Nothobranchius furzeri: one gene and its partner. The protein of the gene in region 2 purifies or fractionates together with the protein of the main gene of each other region. This does not show direct contact. Links are inferred from orthologs where the notes say so. Each region holds a gene or a part of one and is shown on either strand. Other genes may lie near its edges.

Region 1 (8,966 bases), on a different chromosome or scaffold from region 2:
CACCTGCTTGCATCTTACCTTCATCCCATTTGCCCTCAACAATTCTGGGATGTGTAACTAATGACAACAGCAAAAGTTAAAAAAAAAAACTAATACCCTTGAGCCACTCCCCCTTGTTAATTTGAAATAAGGACCAAATGATTAAAATCCAAGCAGAATTGGGACTCAGCCCCAGTCTTACCTGTAGTTGATGCACAAAGCCCACATTGGGGTTGATGCAAAATCTCCTCTCCTGGACATAACTGAATGCATCCCTGCAGAGTTTAAAGTGGGGAGAAACTGAAGCAGAACACACTTCTCCAATTAATCTTTGTCTACAGCAAAAAAAAAAAAAAAAAAAAAAGTCACCTGTATTTCATCCCAAATGTTTCCATCAGGTAGGCGATCACCAAAGCAGCACTGAAAGTACAGATATACCCCGGTGGTTACGATGACATTTAGATGGATTTGGTCTTGTATTAGCATCAAAACAAAAACTACTGATATTATACATCTGAGTATGGCTGGACGATATATAAAAAAGCATATCAAGAAAAAATGCTCTTATTGACCTAAATCTATAATAGATAACTACAAAAAAAGTAGAAAATATATTAAGTGCAGCCCTGGCATTTTTATGGCATCACTTTATGATAAAACCAGCTACCATAGGTATTTATTGAGAAAACAACCCTCGTTTATTTTTTATCAGACGTGTAAAAAGGGAGCCCAAGTCTCCTTCCTTTCCGGTCGGCTCATGGGTCCCCGCAGGAACAAATAAATGAATGCAAGTCAATGGAGCTATTTTCGAATCCGCTTTGCCTTACGTCCTGATTCACACTCGTGCTGTACTTCAATTTAAACGAAAAGTAATGATGTGTTTCGACCACGCCTGTCACATACTTTGAGATTATCAGCTTGTAAAAGTTCGTAATTAGCATGACTACAAATCAGATGTCGGCACGTCGCATATATGACGTCACAACAGAATCTCCTCTCCCCTAGCATAGCTGCTACTTACCACATGGCCAGATTTATGGTGGTTTGAAGTTCGCAAAACTTACAGCCATTTTTCTTCTGCTTTTCTCCATGTCTGGTTCGGTGACATCACTTTGGTGATGCACATTTGTAGTCCTGGTTGTATTTTCACACAAAACCTAAAATAACTTTTGCCCGATTTAAATAAACACTTTCTATGCATCAGAATGTGTCTTTGACATTCACGGACATCATATATGAAATCCATGGCTCATAACGGAATTAGAAAATAGCAGTTTAAAGCCCCATTGACATGCATTCGATTTTTCGTTCTTCAGGGGACCCATGGTTTGGAAGTAGATGGACGTGACTTAGGCACCTTATTAGGTTTGTATCCAAATTTTGATATTGTTTAACTTTCTACACATTTTACCACGGCCTACAGCAGGGCTATTCAATTCTGGGCCTTGAGGGCCGGTATCCAGCATGTTTTAGTTTTAACTGTGCTTCAACACACCTGATTTTAATCAGCAGGTGATTAACAGGCTTCTGCAGAACCCGATGAGCTGCTGCACAGGTGACTCAACCACTGAATCTAGTGAGTTGGACCAGAGAAACCACTAAAACCATGGGACTGTGTGTGTGACCTACAGTGTGGGCGCCACTAAGGGGACTGTTTTGGCACCCTTTCTTTTCACCCTGTACACTGCTGACTTCAGACACAACACAGACAGATGTGTTCTGCAGAAGTTCTCCGATGACCCTGTGATTGTCTGCCAGATCACCGAGGACGGTGATGTGGAGTACAGAGGACTGACACAAAACTGTTGTCAGCAAAACCACCTCCTGATCAACGCGGGGAAAACAAAGGAGATGGTGGGGGATTTTCAAAGACGCCAGCCTGCCACTCCTTCACAGGTGAACATCCAGGGAATGGACATTGAGAGAATTGGCTCTTATGAATACCTGGGTGTTCACCTGAACAATAAACTGGACTGGTCTCACAACACAGATGCACTGTTCAGGAAGGGTCAGAGCAGGCTCGACCTCCTGAGGAGGCTGCAGTCTTTTGGAGTGGACACTCGTGAAGACCTTTTATGACTCTGTGGTGGCACCAGCTTTCCTGTATGGTGTGATCTGTTGGGAGTAGCAGCATCACAGAGAGAGAGAGAGGAAGAAGCTGGACAGGGTGATCAGGAAGTCCAGCTTTGTCCTGGGCTGTCATCTGGACTCAGTGCAGGAGGATCCTGGCAAAACTGAGATCCATGCTGGGCCATGAGTCTCACCCCCTGCAGAACTCTGCTCTGGAGAGCCGCTTCAGTGACGGACAGATCCACCTTCGTTGTGTGAATGGTAAATGGCCTGTATTTGATATAGCGCCTTCTAGAGTCATGGAACCCCTCAAGGCACTTTACAACACAATCATTCACACACACATTCACACACTGGTGGGGATGAGCTACGATGTAGCCACAGCTGGCCTGGGGCGCACTGACAGAGGCGAGGCTGCTGAGCACCGGCGCCACCAGTTCCTCCAACCACCACCAGCAGGCAATGTGGGTTAAGTGTGTTGCCCAAGGACACAACGACAGCGACAGACTGAGTGGGGCTCGAACCTGCAACCTTCCGATTACGGGGCGAGCACTTCCTGTGCCACCGTCACTTCATGACAAAGGAGTGTGAAGGAGAGATACCACATGTCTTTCATTCCTGCTGCGATTAGACTCTATAAGGAACACTCCTAATATGTAACTCATAAATCTGTGACAACTTATGTATCTGTAGCAATGCCACAACTGTCATCACCATTCAATACATGTGCAATGTTTACAGCAACAATCATTATGTTCAACAACTATCAAACTCTCAATTCAACACTTTTTCTATTCCACGTTACTTACTGAATTCCTTTTGTGTGATAGCTTTTCTGTACTACTATTTTAACTTTACTGTACTTGTGCTGTTGCAATACTGCAATTCCCCCTGAGGGACTAAAAAAAAAGGTATTCTTATTCTTAAAAAGTGCTGGATACCGACCCTCGAGGCCCTAACTTGAAAAGCCCTGGCCTACGGTATTACGATCTGTTATGGACCTTCTTGTGTCTTTAATGAAGTGATTGACTGATTGATATTACGATTACAAATAAAAAAATATGACGTAAGCCTCAAGTGACATTACTTCCACTGTTCAGAAACTGAAACACTATTACAGAAAAAAAACAACAACAAAAAAAAAAAACAATGTGCATAATATTAACACCTTTTATTTAAAAAAAAACGCAGCTTATTAAAAAGGGTTTCCACCAGAAAAAAATTAAATTTTTACTTTTCCAGCTTCAACATTGCATGCTATGGACTGACAACTTTCCCTGCAGGGCTGAAAACCCGCTCCGATGGTGAACTTGTGGCGCAACTGCTATAGGAGTCTATATTAGAGATTTTTGTCTCCTGAAATTTATATAAGGAAACATGTCAAAAACAGAAAACTCCTCACCTTCTCGATATCCCTGCATTACCGTGAACCAATACCTTTCCTGGAGGAGCAAAACAAGACTGCTGATCAAATATTTCACATTGAAATGATGACAAATAGGAACTGTATGTGTCCTTACCCTCTGTGGCTAAACAGCTACCAATAAATTCTTTAGTCTGCAAGAAGGAAATGTAAGAAAAAACATACTAGAACGGAGAATTAAAAGCTAAAACTTTAACTCACCGTAGGAAAAAACCGAATTATATTCTCCACTGGATTGTCTGCAATATCTAAAACAAGGTATCTGCAAGAAAAAGCTTCATAACTCAAGACTTCACATTTAGTATAAGCGTTCTGAGTACGTAAATGTTCAAGGGACAAAAATAACACCTTACCTAAATCTATGAGGAAAATTAGGTTTGATAAAATTGGCTTCAATGTCTTGGCGGATACACACAACATGTGTTATGCCGTGTCTTTCAAGAATTGGCAGCTGGAAACAGATGAATTTTAAAGTAATTAATTCATGTAAATTGTGACCGTTTCATATTCAACACAGCTCAAGCAAACATTCGATTTTTAGTTGTTACCTTGCTTTTCATTGCAGCAGAATAGGGGCCTAAGTACAATCCTGGTAAAATCTCCTAAATGGATTAAAAAAAAAACAAATAGCACAACATCAACAACAACAGGAGGAATGGATGCTACTAGACAACAATAACATACCTGCATTTCTCGCCTCATTGGATAAGCCCAGTCCTGTGAAAAAACAAAAAAAAAACAAAACAAAACAAAAAACCAAATCAAAAGTTTAAGGAAATGTTAAGGTAAGTTTACTTGTGTACATACGTGGCTAACGCTAGGCATCTTCTTGGTTTTAGCTACATGATTAAATATTTTAATATTTATTAAATAAAGAGAAGATGAGTTTTACACATGACTAGTTTGTGTTAAGTTCATATATCCTCACACTGAATGCCTTGTAATCTAAACGTTTCACAATAATGCCGGAGAGTATGTTAGCTAAAATTAGCGTGTCGGCTCCAGTTTCATGTTTTCTCCTCACCAGCAGCTCCTCCTTGGAGGAAGGAAGATCCGGGAACTGGAGTTTGATTTCCTCGTCCATTCTGCTGTGAGTTCGGGCTCTGCTGGCCCGGTTTCACGCGCGGCAAAGATGGTTCTAGCGACGGGGTTAGCTGGATAATCGGTGTAACTTGTTTGGAGGCTCCACATGCATGTCCGCCATACTGTTCCCAGACACATGTGTCACGTGACTCCTGAGCAGACAGCATGCCAGAATTTATGGTAAGCCAATATATCCTTTAAGTTGGAAGGCCAAAAGTACGGAAGGACAAACGTCCCATACCTGTTAAAGAGATACTGCACAATCTTTCATGTATTTAAATCACATTCTTGAGTTTGTGCTAACTGACCTTTCACAGGCTTAATGAAATGCCTCTCAGACCCCACCACCCTCTGCGGCAAGAATTTGCAACTTCAAAGTGCCAGGCCACCATCAGTTAGACTTAGAAAAAATGCATTTGACATACCTAGCACTGCATTCTGTTTCCAGCACATTTCCTGCATTTAGAAAATGAACACAGCTAATTTGTTAGATTTAGTAATGAATCGCTCCTTTAGAAACCAATTAACCCAAACCGTTTTGAATTACAAAACAGATTGGACAAATACATCAAGATGTAGGAAAAAAATGTTATAAAATAAAGAAGTTGAATAATTTCCAATATATGTATGGATAGATTTTCACTCTGGGTTTTCAAACTTGAATATTTGACCCAAGAAGAAATTTTGCAGATGTTTAAAACCGGTGGTGACACCAGTGTCACCACCGGTTAAAATCGGTTGTGATATATATATATATGTGTGTGTGTGTGTGTGTGTGTGTGTGTTATTTTATATTGTATTTTAAAGTTTATACACAGGTCCTTAAAGGTTCAGGCTGGGGAGACATTGCAGCTGTAGGTTAACGTTGTGCGTTAGGACAAATGCACAGCAAGGAGATAAGTCTCTCTTTTGCTTTGACCACTAATAGTTAATAACGGACACTAGGGGGTGGTGAAAGCAAGTAAAATTGCTTAGTATACCGTTAGGAAGAAATATTCTGCAGATAAACAACTCTCACTGTATGAGTTTGCTGCAAATGATAATCTTAAATGTATGGTGGAGGATGTTTCTGAATGTCAGGAAAGAACCGCCCTCTCCATAATTTGAAAAAATGCGCATGAGAGAGAACGCCCAGTTATCCCAGTGCACGCTTTGTTCACGAGTAGCTGCTGGACTTGCAGCTAACTTCTTTTAGCAGTTATATGAAATGAATTTCTCCAAATAGCATGCCGAACTTTAGCTTACCTGTCGAGCAGGTGAGCGAGGCGTCTGTGGGGAGCCCAACCTTCGCTTTGCGGATGCGCAGGAAGTGAAAACTGCCCAGCAACAAGCATGTGCAACGACGGCCTTGATGTGACTGGCTCACCAGAATGTTTGACAGTTATGCGGACCAATGGTTCAGATGATCCACCTGGAAGAAACAGATCCTATATTTTTAATTACAGCTGGGTACAAACCTTTAAAATGTTTCTTTTCAACTATTTATTGGAACTATTGTCTTGTCAGTAAGTAAAAAAAAATAAAAAAACACGTTTTATTGCTTTTGCATTGTTTTCTTGCACTGAGTTGTCATTATATTCCTATGATTATTTCTGTTATTTTCTATTGTATTTTAAAGTTTATGTTAAATACATTTTTATTTAAAATCATATAAAGATTTTCTAATTCATTTACAAGTTCTTGTCACTGAAATATGTTTTTTTATTAAAAAAAGTTACCTTCTCTGTTTTCCTCTTATCACATTTTTTTTCCTTCTTATCTTCAAACAATAATTTGAACACAGTGTTGTGCCTGAGTCATCGTGGAGGGCAAAGGCTCCTTCTTTACATATCATGGATCTCCTCATCTGACAAATACATCTTTGTTGAGATGAGCAGGTGTTTGTGAGTTAAAAACTCCGCAGCGGTGCTGGTCAGCAGAGAGAAGTGACAAAAAGTTACTTCTTATCAGATGCAGAGACATAGAATGCTGTCACCTTTCCACAGTCACACTAACCAGAAAAAATAAAGTTTCTTTGAAGGATATCAGTAACAGGAAACATATTCAACCCTTTATCCTTAATCCTTATCAGAGTGCTTAGAAAACACAGTGAACTCGCTTCCCTGTGGCACAAACATCCAAAAGAAAGCAGTTTTTAATCATCCATTTACCACATTCATTTTTGCATAAAGGAAAGAAATACACTTTCATTAAAAACTTGATCTTAATATTAATCAATAAGAGTGTTCTTTAGACAAAATTAATGTCAACAAATTAGGGATATGAATGAATAAAATCACCAGTTTTCTTATAAAAATGATCCGAAACGGGCTTGTGAACATTCAGTCTTTATCTCACTGTCCAATTACACCACCACCAGAGGATATTGATAAGTATAAACATTTAATGAATCAAAAGATGGCTCTGATTTATTATTCATAAATGCAAGCATTACTGAAGTTTCCATTTGCTCAGCTAATTATTTACTGTTGCTGTCATTTACTTTACTGTTTTTTTCATTCTTCTCAGACTGTTCAAGCATGGACCAAATGACAGTCGCTGTCAATGTTTGTATTCCCTCGGGGGCCGTGTGCTGCAGCATGAATGAATGATGGCAGCGTTAGTTAGTTAGTTAAATCCATTTTTATTTAATTAAATGTCACTTTTCTGTGCAGTAATACAGTAAACATTTTACTGAAGGCACTGCAGAAAAAATAAACAACAAAAGCCTAAAACAAAGGCCATGAAAGGCAAGAAGAAGGAAAAATGAATTTTTTCTCACTCTTCTGTTTAAGTATATTAAAAGCCTAAATTTCTGTATAATTAATGAGCATCAGACCCACGTGACCACAGAGCTAGCTCCGTGGAAAGGCCTCAGTCGAGCCTCGGCCTGGCTTGGAAACTGCTCAGGGATTTTGAAGCTCTGGTGTTGTGCACAGTTAACTCCGGTTGTAGCTAGGTTGCTACCTCCATTAGCTTAGCTCCCTTCTCCGCATTAGCTTTGGGTTTGTGTATTCTTTTTTTGGATATTATTTGTGCAACTGTTGGACAAAATGACTTGCTGTGGCATTAATTGCACTAATAGAGCGTCCAACGAGTCTCCACTTCATTATTTTCGGTAAGTAAAATTATATTTATGTATTTTAGGTCACTGCCGAGCTGAGCTTAGATTTTAACATGTACTGTTTAACCATGAAATTTAAATGTAATAGGGTAAATCCCAGTGCATTTAACATAATGCTGCACTTTAGAAAATGGGCTAAAATATTACATGTTGGTGGAGCTGGGTTCCGACTATCGGCTTGTGGAGCTCTCTGGAGACCTCTGTTTTCCACATGTTTCTCCCCGCAGCTCGGCGCAACTCTGTCTGATCGTGGCTTCTGTTTGATGTGCGGGCTGTCGGCTTGTGGAGCTCTGGGATGGAAACCTTTCCACCCGGTTCTCCCCAGCGGCATCTCTGCGCATCTCAGATCGCAGCGGCGCTTGTCTGCTGTGCGGCTGCCGGCTTGTGGAGGTCTCGGAGACCTCTGTGTTCCACCTGGTTTTACCCAGCCGTCAGCCTGGCGTATCTCTGACTCAGAAGCTCTGGTGTTGTGCACAATTAACTCCGGTTGTAGCTAGGTTGCTACCTCCATTAGCTTAGCTCCCTTCTCCGCATTAGCTTTGGGTTAGCTTTAGGTTAGCTTGTAGCTAGTTCGACCGGGTGTCGTCAGTTGATCCCAGCCTTACAGCCCCACCCTCAGCTCCACCTCTCTTCCTTTTTATGGAATTGTCTGGGCTTGACGGAACCTGTGACACGGTCAAAATGGCGGTGGTGGCCACCTCCCATTTGGCCTCAGAAACGTGTTATTGGAGCCTATGGAAATGAATTGTCCAGTATATATGTCGATGTGCAAAACCAACAACAGCCTTCCCCGTCGTGAGCCAAGATGCGTGAGTCCATGAATGTTAAGTGACAGTGCTGTCAGGATTTTCAAATCCCAGAATATTACCATTTATTATCAGAAGCTAATGCAGGAGATAAGTGGAAGACAGAATTTTTACATTCAGCCTGCATGATAAATTCATAGTGGCTGATCATTTTCAAGAACAAGAAGTTAAAATGGTTTCTCAGTGAAGGACTTCTAGCCATCATATTTTGCATGAAATCAAAAAGTAAATTTTTGTCCCCTGCACTTTTTACCGTCCAAAAACAAAATCACACTATATAAAATAGACACTGGTTGAACACTACATGACCAAGCAGAAGCCTGTTTCCCATAGAACCATCCACAAGCTCATCTGTTGGCTCTGCTGATACTTGCTAACGTGTGATTGGCCGTTCTTGTCACCTGTGCACTTGACAGTTCTGCATTCCTGACATTGCATAAAAGAGCCTCTAGGCTGTAGTTTTATACATATTTTTGTATTTACTGTAAATATCCCACCCCGG
Region 2 (4,054 bases):
TAATTATAAAATGACGAATGCTTTAAAACTGGAAAATTCAGCCTTGGGAAAACTTTAAACATCAATTCCAATTCAACTCATAAAAAATATTTTCTTAAAACATGACAGACAATATTATTCTTAATTTCTTGTTTTGTGGTTTCTAAAATTGATGACAGTAACACAAAAGTGAACCGGGGGGTGAGGGGGGGGGGGGGGGGGTGAGAAAGACTTCAGTATGCTATGGTGTGCATTTGGTCATCACGTGTGATTTTGATTGTAAAAATAAACAGTTAAACAACAGGAAACAGGTGGAGTTTCTCACAGTTTGCTTCAGTTATCTGGCTCAAACACCTGCATACACGATTAAGTTTAAAAAATGCTTTTCTTGCCTTGTTCCCAAAGCACTTAACAAAATATCTTCTCTCACATTTAATCCTTTTTAATGCATTGACAAACTCACTCATATACTAATGGCTTACAGTCTAAATGATGAGCTCATCTTAACTGATGTTTTGGTTTATCTACTTGTCTAAGGTCACTTTAGTAAGTGGATTCTTAGAGCTAGATTTTAAGCCTGCCACCTAACAATCAGACATTTCTCCTTTTTGAGCTACAACTGTCCTGAGAAGGAAAGGTATTCTTAGCTACTTACACAGATTCAGTCTGAAATAATCTGAACAGAACAGTTGGTGAAAACCAGAGAGCAAGATGGCAGCAGGACAGCTAGTGAGCGCCGCAGACTTGGGAAAGGTTCATTCACATCTGGTGCCATATTGTCATCATTCATATTTGCATCTGCACCTTCCTCTTTGTCTGGTTGTTCATCATTACCTTCTTGTTCCTCTTCTACTTGAGGATTCTGAATGGGCTGAAAGATCACGTCCAAAAACTCCAGCCGACGCAATCCTCGAAGCATCCTGCAGCTCCGCACAATCTGCAACTCACTGAGCTTGCAGGCCCAAAGGCACAAATGCTTCAGGTCCTTCAGACGGCTGGCACAGAGCAAACCCGGCCCCACCTCCTTACCACCAAGACTCAGCTCCTCCAGTCCAATCCACCCTGCCCCTAGTCCAAGGGAGGCCATCTGTAACTGGTATCCTTGTCGTCCCGTAATTCCTATTTCAAGAAATTTCAGCCGTGAGAGCCCTTCTACCCCCGAGAGACCATCCTTGGCTGCACAATTTCGAAGCCCATTAGCTGTTATACGAAAAGTGTCACGCAACTCCAGTTGACTTAGCCTCTGCCACGATGTTAGACTCTGCAGATGCTGGTCTGTGAAAGAGGGCACATTGTTGAGGATTAACTTCTCAATACAAACTCCCAGAGGAGAGCCAAGCCCTGTTCCTTTCTGATCCCTTCCTTGATGAGGAGCACTAGAAGTGGCTTCTGCTTTGCCAGGGGGATGAGTGGCTGAATTAGAAGAGCTTTGGTTGAAAAAACCCCGAGGCAACTCACAACCACGCAGCTCCAGCACTCTCAAAGTTCGAGGGAAAACCAGGCAGTTAGGTAGACTTCTCAGGTCTGTATGCAGAAGGTAGAGCTTACTCAGACGGGGACATCTTGTGGACAAAGCTTTGAGCCAAGACTCAGAGAGAAAGGTGCCGCCTCGGGCTGACAGCAGCAAACCTCGCAAGCGAAGGCATCTTAGTCCACAACCAAGGTACTGACGCAGCAGGACCCAAAGGATGCGGGATGTCACCTGACACAGTGGATAGTGTGTGTGTGTGTGTGTGTGTGTGTGTGTGTGTGTGTGTGTGTGTGTGTGTGTGTGTGTGTGATGGGGAAAAGGAGAAAATAACTGTTAATAACTATGCAAACAAACACATTTTTCTTTAGGTTAAAATACACACGTATCACTGACTGGTTCATTATGGGTAAATAAGTTGATTTTATTCATGAGAAAGTTCCTCTTTTACTTTGGTGTTGCATCTAAAACCATCAAGTGACTTTACAAACGCAAAACTTTGTGTTTACCGTTTCTGTACATATTTATGAAAAAGCGTATAATTTAGTCATTCAGACAAAACATTAAAAATAACTTCCTTCTGACACAGGTGTTACTGGAACAGATATTTTATGTCTAAAACCTAATGCAACATTGTTTGTAACTCGCAGGTGTTACTTTATTGTGATTATTTTCATAAAGAATAAACATCAGATAAATAAAACGTTAAAGCCACACAGTGTGCTGACAATTCTTACCCCCTTCCATGAGGTCAAGTCGACAGTTTTCCACAGTCTTTGGTCTTTAACAAGGCGTTTCCATCTTTTGCACACCCTAAAAAAAAGAGGAAAACAATGGCAGCAACACAGAGCAAACTCACTTACACCACCGGATGAGTCATAACAAAGAAAAAGCCTGGCGCTGAGTTTTTGGCATACAAGCAAAATTTCAGCTGGAATACAGGTCTTACCTTCCAGCTCTGACAAGCTCTTTGACGCTCAGGTATGACAAAACATCTATCAAAATGTTCTCGGGAAAGTAGTCCAGATTACAGGCTTTAAATTCGTCCATTTCGTTAAAAAAAAAAAAAAAAAACTCGTAAAGCTTCCACACGGACTAATATCCTGACGCACACGGGTTGCGCCCAAATCAGTAATCCCCAGGAAACGGCTACTCGTTGACTGTATGATGCTGTATGACCTAGACGTTGGATTAAAGAACATACAATATTATAAATTCCTTCGGATAGTTGTGTCTCCGTCGATATTTTCTTTCTTTTGATAACACTTGACAAATTTCTGACAAAGGTCGAGCTCCACACCTTGTTTTGAAACAGCCTGAAATGCAGTTTGTTGCCACCTAACGTTCGTTAGCTGAACAGCCCTCCTGCGCCTGCGCGTTGAATAGATGTTGCACCGAATTGTGTGACCATGGTATATTGTGACTCCAGGAGGCGCTGTTGCCTCACACACCGGACAAGATGGCGACCAGCGATGGTGGAGGAATGGAAGTGGATGGGGCAGGCGAGTATTTATTTCTTATTTCACCATTTAAGTCTGACATCAGCATAGATGGATGTACGATTCCCTTACATGCTGTACAGTTTGGGTGTGAATGACCCCAAGTTAAGACTTAGTGTCATTAAAGGCTGCTGCTGACATAAGTGGGTTAACGTGCACTGCTCAGTCTGTAGTCATGACTCTGGATGTTACCGTCGCTCCTTTTCTGTTCTTTGACTGGAGTCTGGATGACTTGTGTGAATATAAATTTATATACACTAATTGTTTTTTGAAAATACTATTTTATGTATTCTGTTCAAATTACAGCACAGCATATTAGAGGAGCACACGAGGGACGTTGTGTACACCTGATTTCCATTGCTCTGTCACGTCATTTTGGCAAAAACAAACTACAGTTCAGTTGCTTCCCTTATTTTCGCCCACCTATGGCTTCACTACTAAGTTTATTTCAATTCGGCTTTGTTATTTCTGTGTGATGATGCAAACCTAACTCTAACCAGTTATATTTATCCTGGCTGCTGCCTAGCTTGGCCAGGTCTCCCTTGAAAAAGAGGTTGTTAATCTCAGTGGGATCTTCTTGGTTCAATAAATACATCAAACATTGGCCATATAAACAAAAACATCTGCTTGTTTATTGTTGTTTGTCTGGGTTGGTATCTGGGTATGATATTGCTGTGGTTAATGTGATTGACACTTTCTCAGCATCTAAAAAAAACTGATTCACCCATAGTGCTGCAGCAGTTAGCGCCATACCACAGAGACAACTCTTTAAAAGGAGAATTGAGAGCATTACATTTAATTAGTCCAATTTCTGATTTAGTGGAGACATCCTTCAGCTGATTATCTGATAAATGAGACATACGAGGGATTCTTTGGGATCTGCCTTATTGGAGTTAAAATATTATTTTTATACATAATAAAACTTCAAATATTTGCTGTTTGTTAAAATGCAACCTCCTTTTTCCCAAAACCAGTCATTTGTTTTACAGTTTTTGTTTGTTTTCGAGTAAAGAGCTTTATGTTACATGTTGCTGGTGTCCAGTTAAAGCTTATTTTACATCTGTGTCCACGTGTCTGTAGTGGGCCCTAGTGTCATGGCCTCGGGAGT

Evidence for each region.
Region 1: the proteins of F-box/LRR-repeat protein 12 (region 2) and styx purify together in Homo sapiens (affinity purification with mass spectrometry; 4 studies listed by BioGRID and IntAct, with this or other methods). This does not show direct contact. The link is inferred for Nothobranchius furzeri from reciprocal best matches to the Homo sapiens genes FBXL12 and STYX.

Annotation. Positions count from the first base shown.
Region 1 is NC_091749.1:54,435,866-54,444,831, forward strand, and holds the start of styx (serine/threonine/tyrosine-interacting protein), read right to left. Parts: upstream 4,783-8,966; 5' UTR 4,557-4,782; coding exon 4,497-4,556; intron 4,190-4,496; coding exon 4,157-4,189; intron 4,075-4,156; coding exon 4,021-4,074; intron 3,924-4,020; coding exon 3,826-3,923; intron 3,735-3,825; coding exon 3,674-3,734; intron 3,607-3,673; coding exon 3,570-3,606; intron 3,492-3,569; coding exon 3,452-3,491; intron 400-3,451; coding exon 349-399; intron 255-348; coding exon 182-254; intron 1-181. UniProt on the Homo sapiens protein: Catalytically inactive phosphatase. Acts as a nuclear anchor for MAPK1/MAPK3 (ERK1/ERK2). Modulates cell-fate decisions and cell migration by spatiotemporal regulation of MAPK1/MAPK3 (ERK1/ERK2).
Region 2 is NC_091741.1:79,988,629-79,992,682, reverse strand, and holds the start of F-box/LRR-repeat protein 12, read right to left. Parts: upstream 2,801-4,054; 5' UTR 2,498-2,800; coding exon 2,397-2,497; exon of another isoform or gene 2,313-2,396; intron 2,261-2,312; coding exon 2,185-2,260; intron 1,682-2,184; coding exon 641-1,681; 3' UTR 1-640. Other genes in the region: cops6 (COP9 signalosome complex subunit 6), read left to right, coding at 2,907-2,949, 4,027-4,054. UniProt on the Homo sapiens protein: Substrate-recognition component of the SCF (SKP1-CUL1-F-box protein)-type E3 ubiquitin ligase complex.